3 linked regions of the Coturnix japonica genome follow. The protein of the gene in region 2 purifies or fractionates together with the protein of the main gene of each other region. This does not show direct contact. Links are inferred from orthologs where the notes say so. Each region holds a gene or a part of one and is shown on either strand. Other genes may lie near its edges. The genes, in order: CTBP1, ZBTB18 and FBXL17.

Region 1 (7,102 bases), on a different chromosome or scaffold from region 2:
ACATCTGTTCTCATCATGTTTGTCTTGTTGCAGGGCGTGTTGGGCAAGCAGTAGCACTACGTGCCAAAGCCTTTGGCTTCAGTGTGATTTTTTATGACCCATACCTCTCAGATGGCATGGAGCGTGCTCTGGGACTGCAGCGGGTGAGCACTTTGCAGGACCTGCTGTTCCACAGTGACTGTGTTACCCTGCACTGCAACTTGAATGAACACAATCATCATCTTATTAACGACTTCACCATAAAGCAGGTAATCATCTCTTTGAGTGCCCTCTGCACAGGGGCTGTTGACTTACACTGTATATATCTTCATTATGTAAAGATACAGATTCTCATTTGAAAGGAATTTTTCACTTTTGCTGTTTTGAAATGAAATAGGTTTATAACTAATAGGAAAGTAGCTGATGCCTTACATATCATCGCTTTTCTTGTCAGTTTTCTTCAGTAACGTTGCACTTTTGGAAATAACCTGCTCTTCTACATGTTGCTCAGAGCTGATTAAGTTGTGTTTACACTCTTATTCTGTGTCTTCTGGTAGCTGCCTCCTGTGCCTGTACTCGCAGGTAGTTCTGCCTTTTCTTCTTGTCCCTTGGGTTTTGATCTTCAGCATCACCGAGGGATTGTGACTAAATGCCGCCCCCCAGTGTTCAGCGCTGAGGCTTGCAGGGTGCTTCTTGAGTGGATCTCATTGCCAGCATTGCATTCTTTGGGAAAATCATGCTTGTTTGAATGAAAACCTCTCCCTAAAGCTTTTAGACAATATGGAAATCACTTTGGAATTTAGGCGTGTAGTAACTAATTCAGTTGTAGGCTTTTCTATTAAACATTTTGCCTCAGTGTAGGTAACAGTAGGAAATAAAACACTGAGATTTTAGATTGTAGATAGCATACAGGAAGAAATTCTGACAGTGTTGTGATTGCTTCTGTATTTTTATGTTTCTTGTACGTGCTGTATTATCTACGTATTGGTTACAATGACAGGAGCATTCTTTTGCAGAAAAAATCCTGCTTCTTGTCTGAGAAATACTTTATACCTGTTGCTCTTGAGCTTCAGGTGAACCAAAACAATTAACACACTACACATCTGATGATATAATGTACGTCTTGATCAGAGAGTTGTGAGATTTTGCAGATCCATCCCGGTGTAAAACCTGGGGTTGGGGTTTAAAACTTAAAAATAATGGAATTCAGATTGCTAAGAGAACTGAGCTCACCTGTTCTGGCCATTCTCCTTTGTTGAGTGTGCAGACACAACATTTTTATATGGTCAGATGTCCAGAAATTTGAACCCAAATGAAACCACACTGAGTTCAGTGGGGCTATGTAGAGACTTAGCACAGTGGGGCTATGTTGAGACTTAGCAATGGTCACTCATACAGTGGCCTCCGAAGCTTTAACCAGTCTATCAGTCTGGGAGATTTTAAGCAGAGCTTAAATGGGCTGAGCTCTGGAGGGTGCTCAGTGTATTAACGAGAGAAGCAAACAGAACAGCTTAACAGTGAGTGATCCATGTGAAATGAATTGCATACAATAAAACCGGGACTGGAAAGGATATTGTAGGTATTTATCTCGATATCCTTTTATTTAGGAGCAAAGTGAAAGTGTTAAGTGTTACAAGGCAATTTTTGCTTTGGGTAAAAGTTTGGATGAAGCAGTCAGTTTTGTAGCAGCTGATGGGAAGGTTACCCATATCTGAAAACCAGAAAACCTTAATACCTCTGTTCATGATTGATCGCTTACATACACCAGATCTTCTGAATTTCAAGTGGCAAGAACAGAAGAGCATTTTCAGTCTGCCAGATGCTAGAGTTGCCCTAAAAAAATTCTAGATCCCATTGCATTCCTCTTTTGTTCAGCATTGCACATTTATGTGATAGCCAGTTTTTAAACAGTGTGGAGGCGTATGGTGAGTCCTCGTGAAGTCCCACCCTGAATCGTTTAGAATCTGATGTGAGAAGGTGATTCTGCAGTTGTGTGAATACACTTGTAAAGCAGCTGTGCAGGTTTAATGTAGGTGAATGCTAACAGCTGTAAGCGGTGCTGTGGCAGTCTTTCAAGCTTCCACCCGTTATATGGGGTCATCTCCAGCTGCATCCACCCTTGTAGTTCATCACGACTCACAGAATTATTCTCCATTAGAATGCGTTTATGTGTCTGTGTTCTGTTTGATTTGGGCTTGTCTTAGTACTAGCTTGAAAGTTTTGCAAATAATCTTGAAGGTAAAAAAAAAAAAAAGGTTTATTATGGACAGACAGAAGATGTTGGTAAGATTTGCTGAAAGTTTTCAAGTTCTTCAAAGGACGGATAAATGCACTGGGCTATACTTAAACATCAAATTGTCCCTTACGTTTGCAAGAACACAGAACTAGGAAGTCTATAAGCCCTCATAAGCCCACTTGACATGGCTGTGATTGCTGCCTGGGTGAGCCCTATTGTGCTAGTTCTAATCTACTTCTCTTGCATAGTGGAGATTCAGAGACTAGAAGTGTCCCTTAATTCCACAGTAAATGGACTTTGGTTTTGCTATACGGTCCAATAAATGTAAGCCCTTCAAATGGCCTGAGGCAGGGATGATTCAAGCTAGTGAGCTGGCCAGAAAACTGTTTTCTTTCTTACAACTTTACTGTAAGCATGTGAATTGTTGAATATAAATAATAATAATAATATAAAATAATAGTAATTCTTGTAGCTGACTTTCATCCAAACCTCCTTGTTGTTCATGCATTTGGCCCTTTGAATCACTTTCTGAGAGTGGATCCATTGTTGTAAGCTTTGTTTGTTGTGTAGGCTTCAAGTAGGCGACGTGGTGTCAAAATGTTGGGTTTTTCTTCTTATGGGGAGAGATGGAGCCAGTTTAAAACGGGTTTTTTATCACTGATCTTCACCATGGTTCCTGCTCTTCTCAAGCTTCATGCTTTGAAATGCTTCTGAGATCAGAAGCTGTGTTGGAGATGACTGATAAAAGATGAAGTATTAGGGTGGCTGGAAGCAGGATGTCAGTTTTTTTCTTTTCCTTACCATCTCTCTTATTTAAACTTCCACTTTGTTTTCATGTTGTGGATATACTGGGGTGTAAATACTCGTAGTTCTCCCCTCATAGTGTCATCTGCAATGCTAATCTGCACAATGCACAGCACAGTTTCTCTCCTAAGCACGCAGCATTCTCAACCAAATTCATTTTCATGCCTTTTAATTGAATAATGTAAGAATTCTTCAGACCTTTATCTGAAAAGCCTTACCAGGAGGAGAAAGCTGAAGTAACAACAGTAAATAAAACATAGGTCTACTGTGTTTTGGCAGCTAAAGGGAAATGTGTTTGAAAATCCAAAAGCATTGATTTCTTTTCTGAAAAATTCATGCAGGCTTTTATTTGTGTGAAAGTTTAAAACCACAAGGTATGAATTTGTTTAAGAATGTTCGGTAGTTTCTGTCTCATGCAATTTCACAGTGAAATGAAAAGGCATAAAATGATCTGTCAGTTTCATATGCACAGTCGTATCTTTTGATCATGTTACTGCACAATATGTGAAACAACGCCTCTGTGAAAAGACACTACTTAAAAGAAACAAAAGATTATTAAATGCTGTGAAATAGCATTTCATGTTAGAAGCATCACATTTTGTGGTACTTTCCAATGGAAAGGGAAGACAACTGTTACAGGTTAAATCAGCTGAATAGCCTTTGTTGTAATGGATGCTTCTTTTGAGTAAAAAAAAAATAATGCCACAACGATTTTATTTCATTTATTTTTATTTCATCATTCTTGTTTTTTAACTTTCCCTAGATGAGACAAGGGGCTTTCCTGGTCAACACAGCTCGAGGTGGGTTAGTAGACGAAAAAGCACTTGCACAGGCCCTGAAGGAAGGAAGGATACGAGGGGCAGCCTTAGATGTACATGAGTCAGAACCATTCAGGTGCTTTTCCTTTTCTTTTCTTTTTATTTTGTTCACTTTCTTATTTTTAAGTCGTAGTGCATGATACGATCAACAGCAACAAGTAAATGAGTTTTCCCTTCATTTGGTAGCCTAATACTCCTTAGTAAAGCAACATGAATCTGTGCAGCACTGGACTAATGCAAAAGTAGATGGAGCTTGTGTATGTGGTCGGAAGTGGGGAAAAAAAAGTTCATCCAAGACTTAATGCCTTTAGAAAAAAGAATTAAAAATCCAACATGTTTATTTAGTACAGTCAGAGACTGAAGTTCTAGTGCTGGGCATGGCTTTGTGTCATGACTTTGAGAGGAGTGTTGCTTCATCACTGACTGAACACTGGAGGCAACTAACGTCTGAACAGTCTTTCAGAAGGCAAAGGGTTGAGATTTGGTGGGAGAAACAACTGCTTTGATGCTGCTCTGGTGGAAAAGGCATAGTTTCTGTCCATAATCCCCCTGCAGGAAAGCCACAAACGTGCCCGATTACAAAAAATTAAAGATAAGGAAGGTGGTTAGAGTTCAGCTTTGGATTTGTTACCGTTTCTCTTCAGCACTAGAGAAGTAACTCTTCTGCCACGAGCAGAGCTCTAGCATTAGCCTTAGTTTTCTGAATGCCGCTGAGCATCTCCAGTGGTATAGGCCCAGGGTGGCACTGCTGTTGTGGTACCAGCACTGCTAATGAGAAACAAGCCTTGTTGTCCTGGAGTCTTGAGCCTGACTTATGAATTATGAGAAGACTGCAGTAACTTAGTGCTTGTATGTGACAAGCCTTTTCCACTTGCTCAGTCTGGGCAGGGAGAAGCATTAATTTTAACAGGAACCGTCCACACAGGTTTTTGAACAGGAACAGATTAAAGACTTGAGGGCATGTTGTGAAGAATGGAGAGAGGACAGACTCTCTTGTATCAGCTTGCAGGGGATACTGGAAGTTTTAAAAATGTAGTGATGGTATCCTTTTAGGTAGAATTTTAATATCTATTGAGACACAGTGCAATATCACAAATACATTTTATTTATACCCTGCATTCATTTACTTGTAAATGTAGACATTACAATGCAGTAGTGCTGTGCAAAGCTAAAATCTAAACAGCTCAAGGGACCTCCAGCTTATATATATTCTTCCCAGTTCAGATCTTGGATCTGCACAGGCAGACCTTTGCACCTATAGGAAGCCCCATTTACTGCATGGAGATACCATCTGCAGAGATTCAGTTGCAGGATTACAGCCACAATTTCCTTCAGCTTCAGTGCTGCATGTCTATCTGATCGCAGCGTGCAACTCTTTATTTGAGAGCTTTGCCAGATATTCTGTTGTTTATTAAACTGCTGATGAAATCTATAGTTCTATGAATTATTACCAACTCTGAAAGCACGTTTTTGTCTAAAATATGAGCTCTACTGGTGTTGCACTTGACTGGAGGATTATTAAAACTGAAAATAGGTAGGAGGAGCAAGCTCCCACTATTTTCAGTTTTCTTACTCTGTATTTGTGAAAGCATATTATGTAGATTCATTGCTTTCCTTGAAAATCGATCCGTCAAGTAAATTTCGTTCTTTCTGTGTAGTTTCTATGCAAAACAGGAAAGAAAAAGTAGTTTAAAATAATAGAAAAAAAAATAAATGAATCATCAAAAAGTTGGGGATGCTGATTGACAAGCTCATGTCGATAATCAATGTGCAAATAATCGTTATTTTTAATGACTAAGTGTCAGATAGACAGTGATTCTTGAGAGAGAAAGCTTTGTTAGCTAATGTAATAAAACTGTGATGGATGGACAGAGTGGCATCCTGAATTAATCTGGGTCTTGCTTAATGCATTTCTGCATGAATACTGGAACGACAGTGGCTGTAGTTAACAATAAGTGCATTGAACGGAAGCTAATGTTGCTACTAGTGCTACTTAAGTTCTACTCTTTGAGTCTATGAGATGTGATTAATACCATGAATAGTGTATTAAATTCAGTGATGGAGTTAAAAACAAGCCCAACAAGGAATACAAATGCAATTATTTTCTATTGTAGAATTTAGTAGAATGTATGTACAAATCCCTCTGGATCTCCCTATTCCCCCACCCCCAATTTGTTTTGTCATTTGATCTTGTTTTAAATCTTCATTTAGCTTTAGTCAGGGTCCCTTGAAGGATGCACCAAACCTGATCTGTACCCCACATGCAGCCTGGTACAGTGAACAAGCCTCAATTGAGATGCGGGAGGAAGCAGCGCGAGAGATCCGAAGGGCGATCACAGGTACTGACTCACCTTATTATCTCCTTTACTCTGTGTTTCCTTTTAACAGTCTTGAAAGATGCTGAAAAGAACCAAAGTTAGTCTTTGTTTACTGCTTCTAATATTTGGAACATGGGAACCAGTAAATACCAAGTGAGTCTATTCTCAGCACAAGCAGATCATGTTGGATCATCATTGCAATTACAAAGAGTAGGCAAGAAGTGAAAAAGTAGTGTTTTTTCCATATAACAGGAACATACTTCAGTGTGAAAAATCCCTTTTTCATTCCTGTTTCTTGTAAGTACCAGCCATGTGATGAATTTGGCTATAAACCATCCAGATATTGATGATATTGTAATATCATAGAATCGTTTGAGTTGGAAGGGACCCTTGAAGGCCATCTGGTCCAACTCCCCTGCAGTGAATAGGGACACCTACAACTCAGGTGCTCAGAGCCTCTTCCAGTCTGACCTTGAGTTTTGTTATATTTGTTAGTAGGTGCTCCTTTTTAGATGTTTCCCTTTTTAAAGCATTCCAGAGGAAGTCTGTCATTTTAAAGGGCAGTCTCTTTGTTGAATAACTACCATGTAATTGTGAACTAATTCACAGAAGAAAAAAATAGTTATGTCCTGAATATGCACTGCTAATAAATAAAATGAGAAGAGTAAGCCATTTGGCTTTAGTTTGAATCCCTTGTAGCCTGAAATAAAAGGCAGGATTTTCATGCTGGAAAATGATTCATTAAGCACTAATGTTCTCTCTTTAGTAGGACTTTGCTGTTTTCCCCTTGGCAATATAGGCTGAATGCTCTGCAGACATGGAGGGTTGTCTGTGTCACCTTGAGAGTGGTTCAGTGCCAGTGCGTTTCTCTGCTGTACAAAGAAGTGCTGGCAGTAGCCTGTCCTGTATCTTGTGTCTAGAGAGGCTTGATGACTCTGTTTCATTTA
Region 2 (7,602 bases):
GAAGATTGACTCACTGCCAAAAAGATTTTTAATCCTGAAGTGTTACCTACACTCACTTACATTCTATTTCACTTCATTGCTTATTTAGAAATAGTAAAAATCTATTACTTAGTTCTGTGAGTTGTAATTGCAGATCGCTTTCTTGAATATAACCATGGTAAGAAAGAGCCCATAGTCCAGAAGGTGGACTAGTCTGACGAGGGTACATGATCAAAGAGATTTGCCCATGGGTGTAATATCAAGCAATAGAAAGGAAAAGAGAATGCAACTGAATGCAATTGGTAGTCAGCACTGTAAATACTCCTCTTGGTATGCCTCAAATCATAGAATGGTGAGTTCACGTGTATGAGGAGGTAAGAACAAGTGAACTAAAAGTATGAACAGTCTCGTCCCATGAAATTTTATTTTAAAATTATTTCCTTAAATTTCAGGTGATGGAAAAGTCCGTAAGAGGTGAGAAAGTCCATTTGCTAAATGTCAACTTTAGCCAAAAAATCCACTCACACAATTTTTTTCACATTCCTCACACTCATTCTTCCCAGAGTTTTCAATGGTGAGAATGACTAAACTGCTTCTCTCAAAAGGCTGCACTTGGATAAGTAAGTGTAGAGGAGACAAGGTCTCAGCAGCAGACCCCGAACAGTTGGTGATACCGCTCACACGAGGAAGGAAGAGGCAGGATGCAGTTTACAGATCTAGGACAGCGCAGCGAATGTAATCATGTCAGCCACATTCACTGGCAGTTCAAATATATATAACTGCATACGTTATTGGTATCTTCTACATTTTAAAAACTTCACAACTATTTTCAATGATATTTCTTGACACAATACCTACAAAAATTTGTTTTTTTGCAGTTTAAAGAAAAAGCAGCTTTGCAGTTGTAGGAAAGATGTGATTTAGCCGAGGGCTGTTAGAGTTAGGTCACTATGGTTAGGCTATGGTTGGACTTGATGATCTTTGAGGTCTTTGCCAACCTGAGTAATTCTATGATTCTAAGATTCTATGCACAAGGAACGGCAGGCAGCAGGGAACGGAGTGCTGATCTGTCCCAGATGATGTGATTATTAGCACCGGGAGACGATCGGGGAAACATGAGGAGTCAGCATCTCACTGCTGTGTCTTGAACACAAGGACAAAACCTCGCTGAGCTCAAAGTATTATTTAATATGGAACATGTTATCAACAGAAAAAAAAACAGCACAGAACTCTCTATCTTATATAAGGAATTGTACCACCACCCAAGATGAACTGAAACACCCTGAGATAATAACTTTAAACACCCACACCAGGACTGCACTAGAGGTTAGTTTCCCAAAATACAGAGAGAAAAGCATCTTCTTTCGTACTGGCAGGTTTGGTGGGTTTTTTAATATGTTATACTTGAAGCATATGGACATGCGGATGCTGGCTGCTGTGTGATATACATAGCAGTGCTGTCAAATGAATTAGGCACAGCTAGAATTCAGTGTACTTCTTTATAGTAGTTTCATATTGAAAGAGACGACATACACGCCTTCCGTTTTCGTATCCACTAAGTCAATTTTGGACATTAACACACAACCCTCTTTTCTTTTAGCTCTGTCTCTGCTGGTGATCCTTAATTTCTTCATAAACCTCGCCCACACTAACTTCATATCTTAAGCAGCAGGGCAGGTGGGGAAATACCATCTCCTTAGATGGATCTATTCCTAAGGAAGGCCTCTGCTGATGGAACCCAGCCTCCACTGCCCTCTCCTACCCCAGAGCCACTGCCCCCAGCCCTCCCTCACACAGCATGCTAAGCCCTGGGGAACTACTGCCAGCCTCTAGCTCAGGGCACCCCAGCACAGCCTCAATGAAGGCAATGCTGCCTTGAGAGGAGGCACTGAAGTTACACGCAACATACAGCAGCCGAGATGTCAGTGATCTTTTAATGGAGGTGAACAAGCCTCCAGGGTAATCCTTCGCTAGAGGTGAGCAAGTGCACAACCACCACTCTCTGTCATGAACAGCTTTTGGGTGACTCCAGGAGCGTCCTTCTGAGGGCCCTGCTCAGCTGCCCACACCAGGCTGGCACCGATGGTGCAAAGGCAGGTTCTGATGAGGGCAGCCCTCGGGGACGCACCCCCACAGCCGCCATTTTGAAGCGTACGCCCCCAGCCCAGCACAGGTGTCCCGGCCAGAGGCACGGAGCGGGGCCAGCCCGGGGCGAACTGCCTCACGGCTGACAACGCGGGACAAGCTCCGCTCGGCTCGGCTCGGCTCGGCTCGGCTCGGCCCGGCTCGCCCTGTGCACGAGGCACACACGGCAGCTCCACCGCCCCCCACTCCCGCTCTCCCCACAGCCCACTCGAGGCCCGGACCCTCTCACTCCCTCCCGCGAGCACCGCGCCCCCTGGACGGCGCCGCCCCGTCGTCGCTCTCCTCAGGCGAGGCCCCGCCCCCTCCCCGGGCCCGGTGTGGCCCCGCCCCCTTCCGCCTCCGCTCCCCGCCGGTTCACGCCCCCTCGCCTCGCCGCGCGTTCCGATTGGCGGAGCGCTCTGCCTTCCCGGGCCTCCCTCCTCCACTCAGCGCCCGGCACCGCCCGTCACTCATCGTTGGGGCTCCGCGCCGGTTGGCGGCGGCGGCGGCGCGGGCGGGTCGCGCTGTCAGTCAGGGAGCGGAGTCCGAAGTGGGGAGCGGGGCGGGAGGAGGGGAACATCTGTCTGCCGCAGCCGGGCCCGGCTGTGCCGCCGCCGCCGCGCGCCCGAGCCGCGTGCGCCCGGCCCCCGCCCGCCCCCCGCCCCTCCCCCGCGGCCGGCCCCGGGCTCCGCGCCGCCTCCGGCCGTCGGTGCCATGGGGAGCCGCTGAGCGCGGGGCCCGCTGAGCGCCGCCGGCTGCCCCGCTCGCTCCTCAGCTGACGGCAGGGGGGGGGGCTCGGGGGGCGGCGGCCCGCGGGCGGGGGAGCGGCGCGGAGCGGAGCGGAGCGGCCCACGGGAGACGGCGGCGGCGCGGGGACTTCGGGCCGCCGCGAGTGTGAGTCCCGCTCTCGTCCCCGCGCGGCGCCGGGCCGGGGCGGGCGGGGCCCGGGGGGCGGCGGGGCCGGCGGCGCTGCCGGTCACTTTCCTTTTGTTGCCTTGTCGGCCCGGGGGCGGCTTTCCTGCGCGCCGGGCGGCCGCTTCCTGCCCGCGGGGCCGCCGGCGGGTCGGGCCCCGCGCCGCGGGGGGCGGCGGCGCTCGCGGCCAAAAGTTGCCGCCGCCCGACCGGGATGCGGGGCACGGCACGCGGGGTCGCGCCCGCGGTCCCGGGAAGTTGCGGGGAGGGCCGGGGCCGGCGGCAAGGGGCGCGAACCGGGAGGGGACGGGAGGGGAGGCGGCGGCGCGGGCACGGCACCGGGGCCGGCAGCGCGGAGCGGCGGTTCCGCGGAGCGGTGCGGGGTCGGCGAGCCGGGGCTGTGCGCGCTGTCGGCGGGCGGAGCAGCCCTCCAAGTTGAGGCAGAAGTGTCGGTGTGCCGCGAGCGCGGCGGAGCCCCATATGTTGAGGATTTTCTTCTTTATTTATTTTTTATTTTTTTCTTCCCCCCTGTTCGAAAGTTTGGGGAAAAAAAAAAAAAGAGAGACTTTGAAGTATTTTGTTTATACTAACAGAAGAGAAAAGTTCTCCTAAGAAAAAGCTGGTGGCAGGAGTGTAGAGGAGTAGCATATGGCATTAAAAGGAGCACAGCTGGAGGTAGCATTTCCATCTGAACATGATGTCAGAGCAGCTGACAGCCTGCCATCCCTCAGCCTTTTATTCTAACACACAGACAGGGAGTTAGTGTGTGCAGATCTGTGTGTGGAGAAGGTATCTCATTCCTCTCTAACATCATCTCCACTTTGCATCTGTCTCTCCCAGTCTGCTTTTTTTCCACCGATCTAACAGACCTGGAGCCAGCGAGACTCAGAGGAAAGGACTTAATCAGGTTTATGTGTACTAAAGGTAGGAGTAGCAATAGATTAGATACAGCATCTTTCTGTTTTGGTGTGTTGTTTATTGAATTTCAGGAAAAATCACATTACTTTTCTAACCAAGTTTGGAGGTAATATATGAAATTGAGTATTAAGCAGATAAGTGGACTTGGTCAAAAAGGCTGGGGCTGCAGTTTGAGAGTATCGGTTTGATGCACATGGATAGAATTAACTTTAATGCGTATCGTGAGAAGAAAATTTCTGGCTTTAGGATGTGATGAGAGCAACTTTGTTCTCAATTTCTGAGACCAAAACTGAAATGCATTCGGAGGCGAGCTAACGAGAGTCCTGCTTTATGCTTTTGTGCTGCATCTTTAGGTTGACTTGATGGGGATTTTTGGTGAAATAGACACGAGCGTGCTTTTAAAAAGAACCGTTCTGGCTGAACCGTGTTTGTTGTGAAGGCTCTCACTGTGCTTGGTGGTTAAATAGCCAGCAGCCCGGAACTGTGGGAGCATACAGCTGGAGTGCTTTTGAAAGATAGAAATCACTTATGTGTTTAGAAACTTTTGTACCTGGGAGAATAGCCTGACTGGTTTCGTCTTTTCTTTCTCGCCTGTAGCATTTGCAATCTTTTATTCCTGCATAACAATAATTATTTGAAGGAGTTTTTGTATTTGCGACTAATTTAGAACTTGTAGATTTGAGCTGCCTGAATTGGCCAGACAGCTGTAATCGCACTCCTCTATTCTTAATCTCTTTATCTGGGCAGCAGCTGCCATATGGCCACAGTCAGCTGGATCAGATGTTTATAAGCTTCCTTCTTCGTCCCTCTCTGTCCTTTCAGCCTCCTAATTTGATCACAGCTACCTTGTGAGCTGCCCTCCAATCTTTATTTTTAGCCCTCTTAAGGATTAGGATTGATGTTGGCTGTGGGGCACTTAAAGTGATTGTATTGTAAATCTTCGTGCTTTACTCTAGCGGTGGTATTTTACAGAATATAGCCAGGGTTGTGCTGTGAGTTTCAGCACATCTCGCTTTGCCGGGGATGGGCATTTTTCAGCAATATCTGCCAGCCCAGAGAGCCACGGTCTGTTTGGATGGTTTGGAAGAGCATTGCCAGCAGTCACAGAAGAATAGGTTGAGACAGGGGTTTTAGGAGATTTTACTTTCTGTTTGAATTCTGACTTCTCTACTTCTCTGAAGTTTAGTTGCTTGATTTTTTTTGTGTGTTCTTTTGTTTTGTTTTGTTTTTTGTTTTTTTGTATCATCAGAGAGGGTGAATAGAAAAAAGACTTGGGTAAGCACAGCACTCAGGATACTCATTTTAAGTGTGCACACACGCTCACGTTGAATGGCTTTTTTTTTTTTTTTTTTTTAAGTTTGGTACTGCAAACTCTGTGGTGTGGGAGGGGAGGGAAATTTCTGTCCTTCTGCACAGGGGAAGCAGTGCTCAATGGCATTTTAGCTGACAGTTTTCTTTTCCTTTTGCAAATTCTGCACCTTAGCAAAAAAGCATCTTGTTTTCTCATGTACAGTGTGGAGAATGTTCCAAACCTGAAACTATACCTACCAGGAGGAGAAGGCAGTGCAGGCTAGGTTTCTAAAAAAGCTTGGTATTCCTCTCAAGTAAAAATTCTTTACTCCTGTCAGTTCCTATTCCTTATGAATGCTAGACCTTTAGGTTTGGGCAGTTAGCATTTCTTCATGCACAAAACTCTCCTGTTATTACAGGTTAGCTTTAAAAAGGATGTCGATCATCTGTTTTGTTTTATTATTAATATTGCTATTATCTTTTCCCTCTGCGATCTCTCAAACTTAGTGTTTGAAAAAGAAAATACTTTTTTTTTTTTTTTCCAGTTCTGCTAGGGTCGCAATCTGGAGGAAGGTCCTTGAGAAAGAAGAAAATAACTGTTGAACAGATTTTGTGAACAGTGGTGGTAGAAATGTAGCTAAGCGCTTATTAGAATGGCTTACTTAGGGGCGAGGGGAAAGCAGAACTTCAGTGGTTGATTGGGGAAAGAGAGGCCATTGTGTGTACGCGTTAAATAATCCTCGCGTAGTGGCGGTGTCAGGATTCTGGCAGTAGAAACGCTGGGCTTTCAGAGTGGAATAACTTGGGCTCATAAGTTCTGTTGTTCTGAATCCGCGTGTAATTTTGAAAAATCTTATTACTTTATAGGTTATGAAGACAGCATGGAGTTTCCTGACCACAGTAGACATTTGCTACAGTGTCTGAGCGAGCAGAGACATCAGGGTTTTCTTTGTGATTGCACTGTTCTGGTAGGAGATGCCCAGTTCCGAGCGCACAGAGCTGTACTGGCTTCATGCAGCATGTATTTCCACCTCTTTTACAAGGACCAGCTGGACAAAAGAGACATTGTTCATCTGAACAGCGACATTGTTACAGCCCCAGCTTTCGCTCTCCTGCTTGAATTCATGTACGAAGGAAAACTCCAGTTCAAAGACTTGCCCATTGAAGACGTGCTAGCAGCTGCCAGTTATCTCCACATGTATGACATTGTCAAAGTCTGCAAAAAGAAGCTGAAAGAGAAAGCAACCACGGAGGCAGACAGTACAAAAAAAGAGGAAGACGCCTCAAGTTGTTCAGACAAAGTGGAAAGCCTCTCCGACGGCAGCAGCCACATGCCAGGAGACTTGCCCAGTGATGAAGACGAAGGAGAAGATGAAAAATTGAACATCCTGCCTAGCAAAAGAGACTTGGCGGCCGAGCCTGGGAACATGTGGATGAGATTGCCCTCAGACTCAGCAGGCATTCCCCAGACTGGCGGAGAGGCAGAGACACACGCAACAGCAGCTGGAAAAACAGTAGCCAGCCCCTGCAGTTCAACAGAGTCTTTGTCCCAGAGGTCTGTCACCTCCGTGAGGGATTCAGCAGATGTTGACTGCGTGCTGGACCTGTCTGTCAAGTCCAGCCTTTCAGGAGTTGAAAATTTGAACAGTTCTTATTTCTCTTCGCAGGACATGCTTAGAAGCAGCCTGGTTCAGGTGAAGGTGGAGAAAGAGGCTTCCTGTGATGAGAGTGATGTTGGCACTAATGACTATGATATGGAACATAGCACTGTGAAAGAAAGTGTGAGCACTAATAACAGGGTACCGTACGAGCCGGCCCATCTGGCTCCGATGAGGGAAGATTCAGTCTTGAGGGAGCTAGATAGAGAGGACAAGGCAAGTGATGACGAAATGATAACTCCAGAGAACGAGCGAGTCCAGGTGGAAGGAAACATGGACAGCAGCTTGCTCCCTTACGTGTCAAACATACTTAGCCCCGCTGGCCAAATTTTTATGTGTCCTCTGTGCAACAAAGTCTTTCCTAGTCCCCACATTCTGCAGATCCATTTAAGCACGCACTTTCGAGAGCAGGACGGGATCCGCAGCAAGCCTGCTACCGATGTCAATGTCCCCACCTGCTCACTGTGTGGTAAGACTTTTTCTTGCATGTACACCTTGAAACGTCATGAGAGGACTCATTCAGGTGAAAAGCCCTACACTTGCACCCAGTGTGGGAAGAGCTTCCAGTACTCCCACAACCTGAGCCGCCACGCAGTGGTTCACACGCGGGAGAAGCCACACGCTTGTAAGTGGTGTGAGCGCAGGTTCACGCAGTCCGGAGACCTTTACAGACACATTCGGAAGTTTCACTGTGAGTTAGTGAACTCATTGTCTGTCAAAA
Region 3 (6,383 bases), on a different chromosome or scaffold from region 2:
ATCTGCCACAAAACTTGCAATATTCCAGCATTGCCACCACTGTTTCCAATTTATTGAAGCCTATATTCACGTCTCCACATACTTGTCCAGTCAAAATCTCAATGGGTGAGCTTATCAAGACTCTCTTCATTTTGTGCTACACTGTCACTGCTGAAACACACCACCCACCAACTCACTGCACTCATATTCACTGTTTGGCTCCATAAATGTTCAGCAAGTGTTGATGAATGTCAGTGGGTGCCATTTTTTCCACAAGGAGGAGCTCAATGACACACAATTGCTTTACACACATTTCCATACCAGATGCCATTTTGTTAGGCTGCCCCTCTGCTGCCATCTGTCACACAGCAACAACATGTAATGGAATACTGTTGGAGTTCAGCCTCCAGTGCTGTACCACCAACATCTGCCTCTGATGCTGTGGGCCAACAGAATAAAACAGGAGACGTTACTTTCAGGGCAGCCTTTGTATATTTGATTATTTATGATGAAGTTTGGGAGAAGAACTTCTTCTATCATGAGAGTCAGTTTTTTAAACTTCAGGTAGTTTCGTTCTGTGGCAGTTATGTTTTCAAGTGTATACATAGGATTTCGTTATGGTTTAACCTGGCAGGCATCTCACTACTACACAGCCTCTCACTTGCTTACCCCAAATGGGAAGGGGAAAGAACCAGACATGTACAAGTGCAAGAATTTATGGGTTGAGATAAGGACACCTACTATGTTAAGCCAATGCTGCAAGCAAGTCAAAACAAGACATTACTCTGCTACTTTCCATCATCAGGCAGGTGTTCAGCCTCTTCCCCACCAGCAGGACTCATTATGTGTAATGATTTCTTGGGAAGACAAACAACATCACATTTTCCCCCTTCCCTCTTCTTTACCTCAGCTTTTATTTCTGAGCAGGATACCACATGATGTGGAATATCCCTTCTGTCTCCTCCCAGCTCCTTAGGCATCCCCAGCCCCTCACTGGCAAGACAGCACAATAAGCTGAAACCTTCTTTGCTCTGGGCAGCACTGCTCTATGACAGCTAAAACATTCGTGTGTGTTCAACACTGTTTCCATCAAAAATCTAAAACACGGTGCCATACATCCTCTTTGAGGAAAATTAACGCTATCTAAGCTAAAACAGATGACAAAATTATGGTTTGGTACTACTTAGTGTTGCCTGGGATCAAAAGATTTAAAATGACACTGTAACAAAAACAGGGAAACCCGACTGTTCAGGTTTTGTTCATAAAATATCTGACCTTGTTGTAAAGTCACTTCTGCAGTGGTTTTGCCTGTTCTCTCATGCTTATATTTACTTTTAACTGTGTTTGTCACTCGATATCAGAAGTAGTAATTAGTAATAATTGTATTATGTATTATTTATACTGCAGTAATTTATTTAAAAAAATAAAATGACCAATGGCTAGCACTAAATGGTTTACCATAGATTTCTTCATAGATTTTAAGACCAAAAGATACTACTGTAACATCATCTGTCTTCCTTATTATTCTGGGCCACGCTATTTCACTTAAGTTAGCCTTGCAGTAAATCAGTTACTTTAATGTAGCTGGAGTTTTGCTTCTGTAAATGTGTTCAGTCTTTGGATAGAAAACCCCAAGTATGGAGGATGTATGGCTTTCTCTGATCACAGCCTCTTGTCCTGTATTTGAACATCCTCTTTGTAACAAATTTGTATTATTTGTTTCCCATAACAGAAAATCTGATTATAATATTGCACCAATTTGCTCTCTCAAACCATAATATCCATGCTGTACTAACAAATAACATCTAACAGGTTTGTGTCAAAGAATAATAGCCTCTATCTGCTGTTAATATTTTTAAAATATTGAATGGATTGATGGTATTTCTTCTCCAAGTTTCCGATGAGGAAGGAGTAGCAGGGGTATCTTCATTCTGGCTGATTTACCGCAAAGAGAAGTTACTTGTAATGTTATAGATTTTGCCATGGCTGTGCACCACAAATGTAAAGAAAAGAGGCTTTTGGACTATTTTTGAATAGGCAAATAGTAGCAAATATGGCTTCGGAAATTCTTCCCTTCCAAGCAATATTTCTGTGAAGTGCTGCTGACAGTTTGAAAGTATGTATGTATTCAGCTATAAATATCAAATATTTTGGAGGACTTGTGCTATGTCTGATTTCATTTTGATTTATTAAAAGTCACTTCTTGTTTATCAGCACTGGAAGAGGTTACTGTTATGTAGTAATTTGCCAAAAGAGTACAGTGTGTACTATGAAAGGAAGTTAAACCGGTTTTCTATCCAAGTCAGTCTCAGCTAGATGAAACTTCCAATGAAGATTGAGTGTTTCTATTATGAAAGTAGAAGAACTGGATATTAAACCTTTCATTTATCCCCGTCATTGTGAGCAATCACTGCTTAGAAGGATGCACTCCTTGTTATCTTTTAAGGACAAAAAGTATTATTAGATATCGTGGTCACTGTGCTTTAAAATATTATTCACAAGATGGATCTTTGTAAGGATAGTAAATATTTCAGTACTTTTTTTTTTTTCTTTTTTTCTTTTCTTTTTTTTTTTTTTGGTTTTGTGGGACACTGTGGGGAGAAAGCAAGTCACGATATCTGTTGTACATGCTACTGATCTAGGCAATTCAGCGCTTAAATATAGCACTGGCATATTTTAAACTGTCCAAGTATTTTAGCAAGGATTTTAAAGAGAGCTGCATAGGAGTTATGGTTCTTCAGTTAATCTTTCATTTATCTGAAGGCTGAAGGAAGCTGTCTGCTTTTGTGATATGAACTGCAATCAGCTTAAAAATAATTGACAAATTAATCCTTTCACAGAGCTGCAATTGTAAAGGTGTTAGATTTAGCTTGGCTTGTCTGACTGCCCTGTCTAATCAAGAAAAAAGGTGCTATCTTTGATGTTTAAGATTTAGAAGGGACATCCCTGACCTAACAAGCTAGTATATTTTAATTATCGATCCCCTCATTTCTGCCCACAAAAGCCTTTGTTCATTGATAGCCTCACACCAAAAGACTAAAACAAAAATTTCTGACTGGGAGGTACATGAAGACAAGCAGGTACTGGAACATTGGGAAAAATTAACCTGTATTACCAATTTATATACCTACAATATAAAACAGATTGCATTCTACTCTTCTAGTTATTATCTCTTAATTATCATTGTGGTCATGTTGAAAGCCACCATACAGTGGAACTTAATTTCAGGGCTAATTCCTGCATAGCATGTATAAAAGTAACAAAAATGTACCATAAATTAATTGAAAAAATTGAATCAATTTCCATTTCCAAAGCCAAGAGAAATTTCAAACCCATGTCTGCTTAAGTATTGTTAAAGTAGTGTGTTTCTATTTCAAGACAAAGGAAGAAATATATGCAGTGTGCTCTTAAAGAAGACTGCCTGTCTATGAATAATTATGTTTTGTACAGTAGGAGTGGCCAGTTTGTTTATGTATGGAATTTAAATAGTTCAGCATATTGTTAAACACTGTTGCAGTTTTCTAACTAAGCTTTTTACAAATGGAGATGCTTCATCTTTCTTTGCTTTTTCACTTTCAATTGAAAATAATCAAACAGTGTGTACTAGAATGCTGTATCAAAATTCTCCCTTTAAGATGGAGTCGAGCTGTTCATTATGTAGGTTTGTTGTGGGTTATTTTTTGTTTTGTGTTTTTCTCTAAAAGAGGATCAAATTCTGAATATTTTTGATAAATGAAGCCTACTGTGTCAATAGACAGCCCAATTCTGCTAGTCCTTCCAGGAGTCCAGTTTGATTATTTATTTAGTTTGAATAACGTTGCCCTTTTTGTTCACTTTTTTCACATTTTGGATTCTTTTCTTCAATTGCAGGTGAATGAAGCCACAGTAGAGCAGCTGGTGCAGCAGTACCCACATATAACCTTTAGTACTGTTCTACAGGATTGCAAGAGGACATTGGAACGAGCTTATCAAATGGGCTGGACTCCCAATATGTCTACTACCCCTTAACGTCATGCACCAACATGACAGTTCCACTCTGCTGCTTTCGGTAGATCGAATGGGGACTGCACAGGTTCACAGCCTTTCATTGTGATATATACAATGAATGCAATATAATTGTTAGTTTACAGAGGTTACAGTAAAATGGAAAAAAGCTGTATACTGACTTTGATGTACTGTATAACTAAGTCCTGGTATTGAGACAAAATTTTAGAAAAGCATCCTATTTCTTTGTTTGCATAAAATAAATGACTGATTTCTTGAAGTGGATTCCTATAGTTCTATGGATAGTGTGGGTTATAAAAGATACAAAGCTCTTTTTTTTTTATGTGTGTTTACTTTGCCTTGGTTGTGTGTATTTCCTTTGATTTGTAGATGGTAACTCAGTGCTAGCACCGGTATAGCTGATCAGCAGATGCCTGTGCTGAAACTGGGAGCTACACTCCATGCTTATTATTTACTAAAGTTACCCTAGGAGTTTTAAGATGCGCAGCGTATAAGAAAAAGTACAAAGATCTGTGATTGTCTTATAGACTTTTGGGGAATTACACAAGTCATCGGTAAACGATTATAATGACTGAATAGCTATCTAATGGACAATCATATAATCATCAAGTCCTAGAACAGTTTGGGTTGGAAGGAACCTGAAAGATCATCTCATTCCAATCCCCCTCCTGCGAATAGGTTGCTCAAACCCCTTCTAATGTGGTCTTGAATACTTTCAGGGATGAGGCATCCACAGCTTCTGGGCAACCTGTCCCAGTGTCTCATCACCTGCTAAGAAAATAATTTCTTCCTAACATCTAATATAAATCCACTCTCTTTCATTTTAAAATCATTCTCCTCAGTCCTATCATGACTTTTGACTTTGATGCAGAGTACCCATCTTTCCCATCAGTCCCCTTTACATACTGGAAGGCAGCTGTAACATCTCCCCAGAGCATTCTCTTCTGCAGGCTGAATAAGTCCAACTCCCTCCATCTTTATCACTTCACAGAAGTTGTGTCTTCTTTTATTTTGTTTGTTTAAAATGGTCGTTTAGGAGATATTCTGCAGATTTAGAAATCTTTTCACATTACAGGTTTTGCAGTAAGTGAGTAAACAGTGGTTGAACTCATACTCACAACCAGTTCCCGCTACATAACCAGTCAAGCAGGAAGTGAATACACCAACAATCAGAAATAAATTAAGGGACAGTTGTCATGGAGTTATCTAGATCAATCTATGTCCATGACAGGGGGGCAGTAGGCCTGTGGGTCCCCCATCCCTCAACAAATGGGAAGGGAAAAAGGAAAAAGGGGTAGGGAGATGGGAGCTGGGCTCATGGAAACAAACAGAGCAGCAGCATCGATCTAAGGAGGAAAACTTATTTTACTAATTATGATATTGGAATACAAGATAACAATATAATACAATCTGATTTAAAATGAGGCTAATAAATCAAGTAAAATAAGAGAAAGAGAGAGGTTTCCAAAGACTGAGAAGCCTACTTTGAAATTGAAGGCGCCATGGCTTGGAAACACACCCACACCCACTGCCAGGCAGTGAGAGAAATAGCCAGCATCACTTTGTGACGTGTTTCCCTCTCTGACCTTGAGGTCCTCTGAGACATGTAGTTCTTCTCTGTATTCCACATGATGTTATGATATGGAATACCAATAGCAAAAATTACACAACCATGACATTCCACCCATTATTCAACATCACTACATCATGCTTAAAATACATATATATATATACAAATAAACAAGAATTAAAATGCATTACACACACAGGTCTATATACATATATACATGGAATTACTAACTGCACTCCCCCAGCATCGAATTCCCTTGTGGTACGCACTGAACATCCCCATCTTTCTGCATCACCCACCAAGTGCACCCAGATCTCTGGGCAAAAACAGTTCCACAGAGAGGTTTGCCCTTTCCAGAGGCTGGAAGGACCCAAACAGCTTTTCCCAACATGTTCTTTACATGTACTACAGGGACCTTATCTCCCTCTACAGTATGCAGGGGCTGGATTGGCTAGGACCATCACAACTGACTGATCCTCTAGTACTGACCAACCAAGTGGCTTCTGACAAATGCTTCTCCCAGTGCTTAAATGTTCCACCACCCTTTGCTTTCAACATAGTTTTCAACAACCCACTGTATCATTCAATTTTACCTGAAGCTGGTGCATGGTAGGGAATATGATAAATCCACTCAATGCCATGATCTTTGGCCCAAGTATTTACAAGGGAATTTTTGAAATGTGTTCCATTATCAGACTCAATTCTTTCTGGGGTGCCATGTCTCCACAGGACTTGTTTCTCAAGCCCTAATATGGTGTTTCGGGCAGTAGCATGGGGTACTGCATATGTTTCAAGCCACCCAGTGGTTTCCTCTACCATGGTAAGCACA

What was found.
Region 1: the proteins of ZBTB18 (region 2) and CTBP1 purify together in Homo sapiens (affinity purification with mass spectrometry; 3 studies listed by BioGRID and IntAct, counting the BioPlex papers as one, with this or other methods). This does not show direct contact. The link is inferred for Coturnix japonica from reciprocal best matches to the Homo sapiens genes ZBTB18 and CTBP1.
Region 3: the proteins of ZBTB18 (region 2) and FBXL17 purify together in Homo sapiens (co-immunoprecipitation; 3 studies listed by BioGRID and IntAct, with this or other methods). This does not show direct contact. The link is inferred for Coturnix japonica from reciprocal best matches to the Homo sapiens genes ZBTB18 and FBXL17.

What each region holds. Positions count from the first base shown.
Region 1 is NC_029519.1:76,829,924-76,837,025, forward strand, and holds part of CTBP1 (C-terminal-binding protein 1), read left to right. Parts: intron 1-33; coding exon 34-248; intron 249-3,782; coding exon 3,783-3,913; intron 3,914-6,048; coding exon 6,049-6,176; intron 6,177-7,102. UniProt on the Homo sapiens protein: Corepressor targeting diverse transcription regulators such as GLIS2 or BCL6. Has dehydrogenase activity. Involved in controlling the equilibrium between tubular and stacked structures in the Golgi complex.
Region 2 is NC_029518.1:31,393,404-31,401,005, reverse strand, and holds the start of ZBTB18 (zinc finger and BTB domain-containing protein 18), read left to right. Parts: upstream 1-3,448; 5' UTR 3,449-3,926; coding exon 3,927-3,939; intron 3,940-6,090; coding exon 6,091-7,602.
Region 3 is NC_029547.1:42,665,211-42,671,593, forward strand, and holds the end of FBXL17 (F-box/LRR-repeat protein 17), read left to right. Parts: intron 1-3,849; coding exon 3,850-3,987; 3' UTR 3,988-4,295; downstream 4,296-6,383. UniProt on the Homo sapiens protein: Substrate-recognition component of the SCF(FBXL17) E3 ubiquitin ligase complex, a key component of a quality control pathway required to ensure functional dimerization of BTB domain-containing proteins (dimerization quality control, DQC).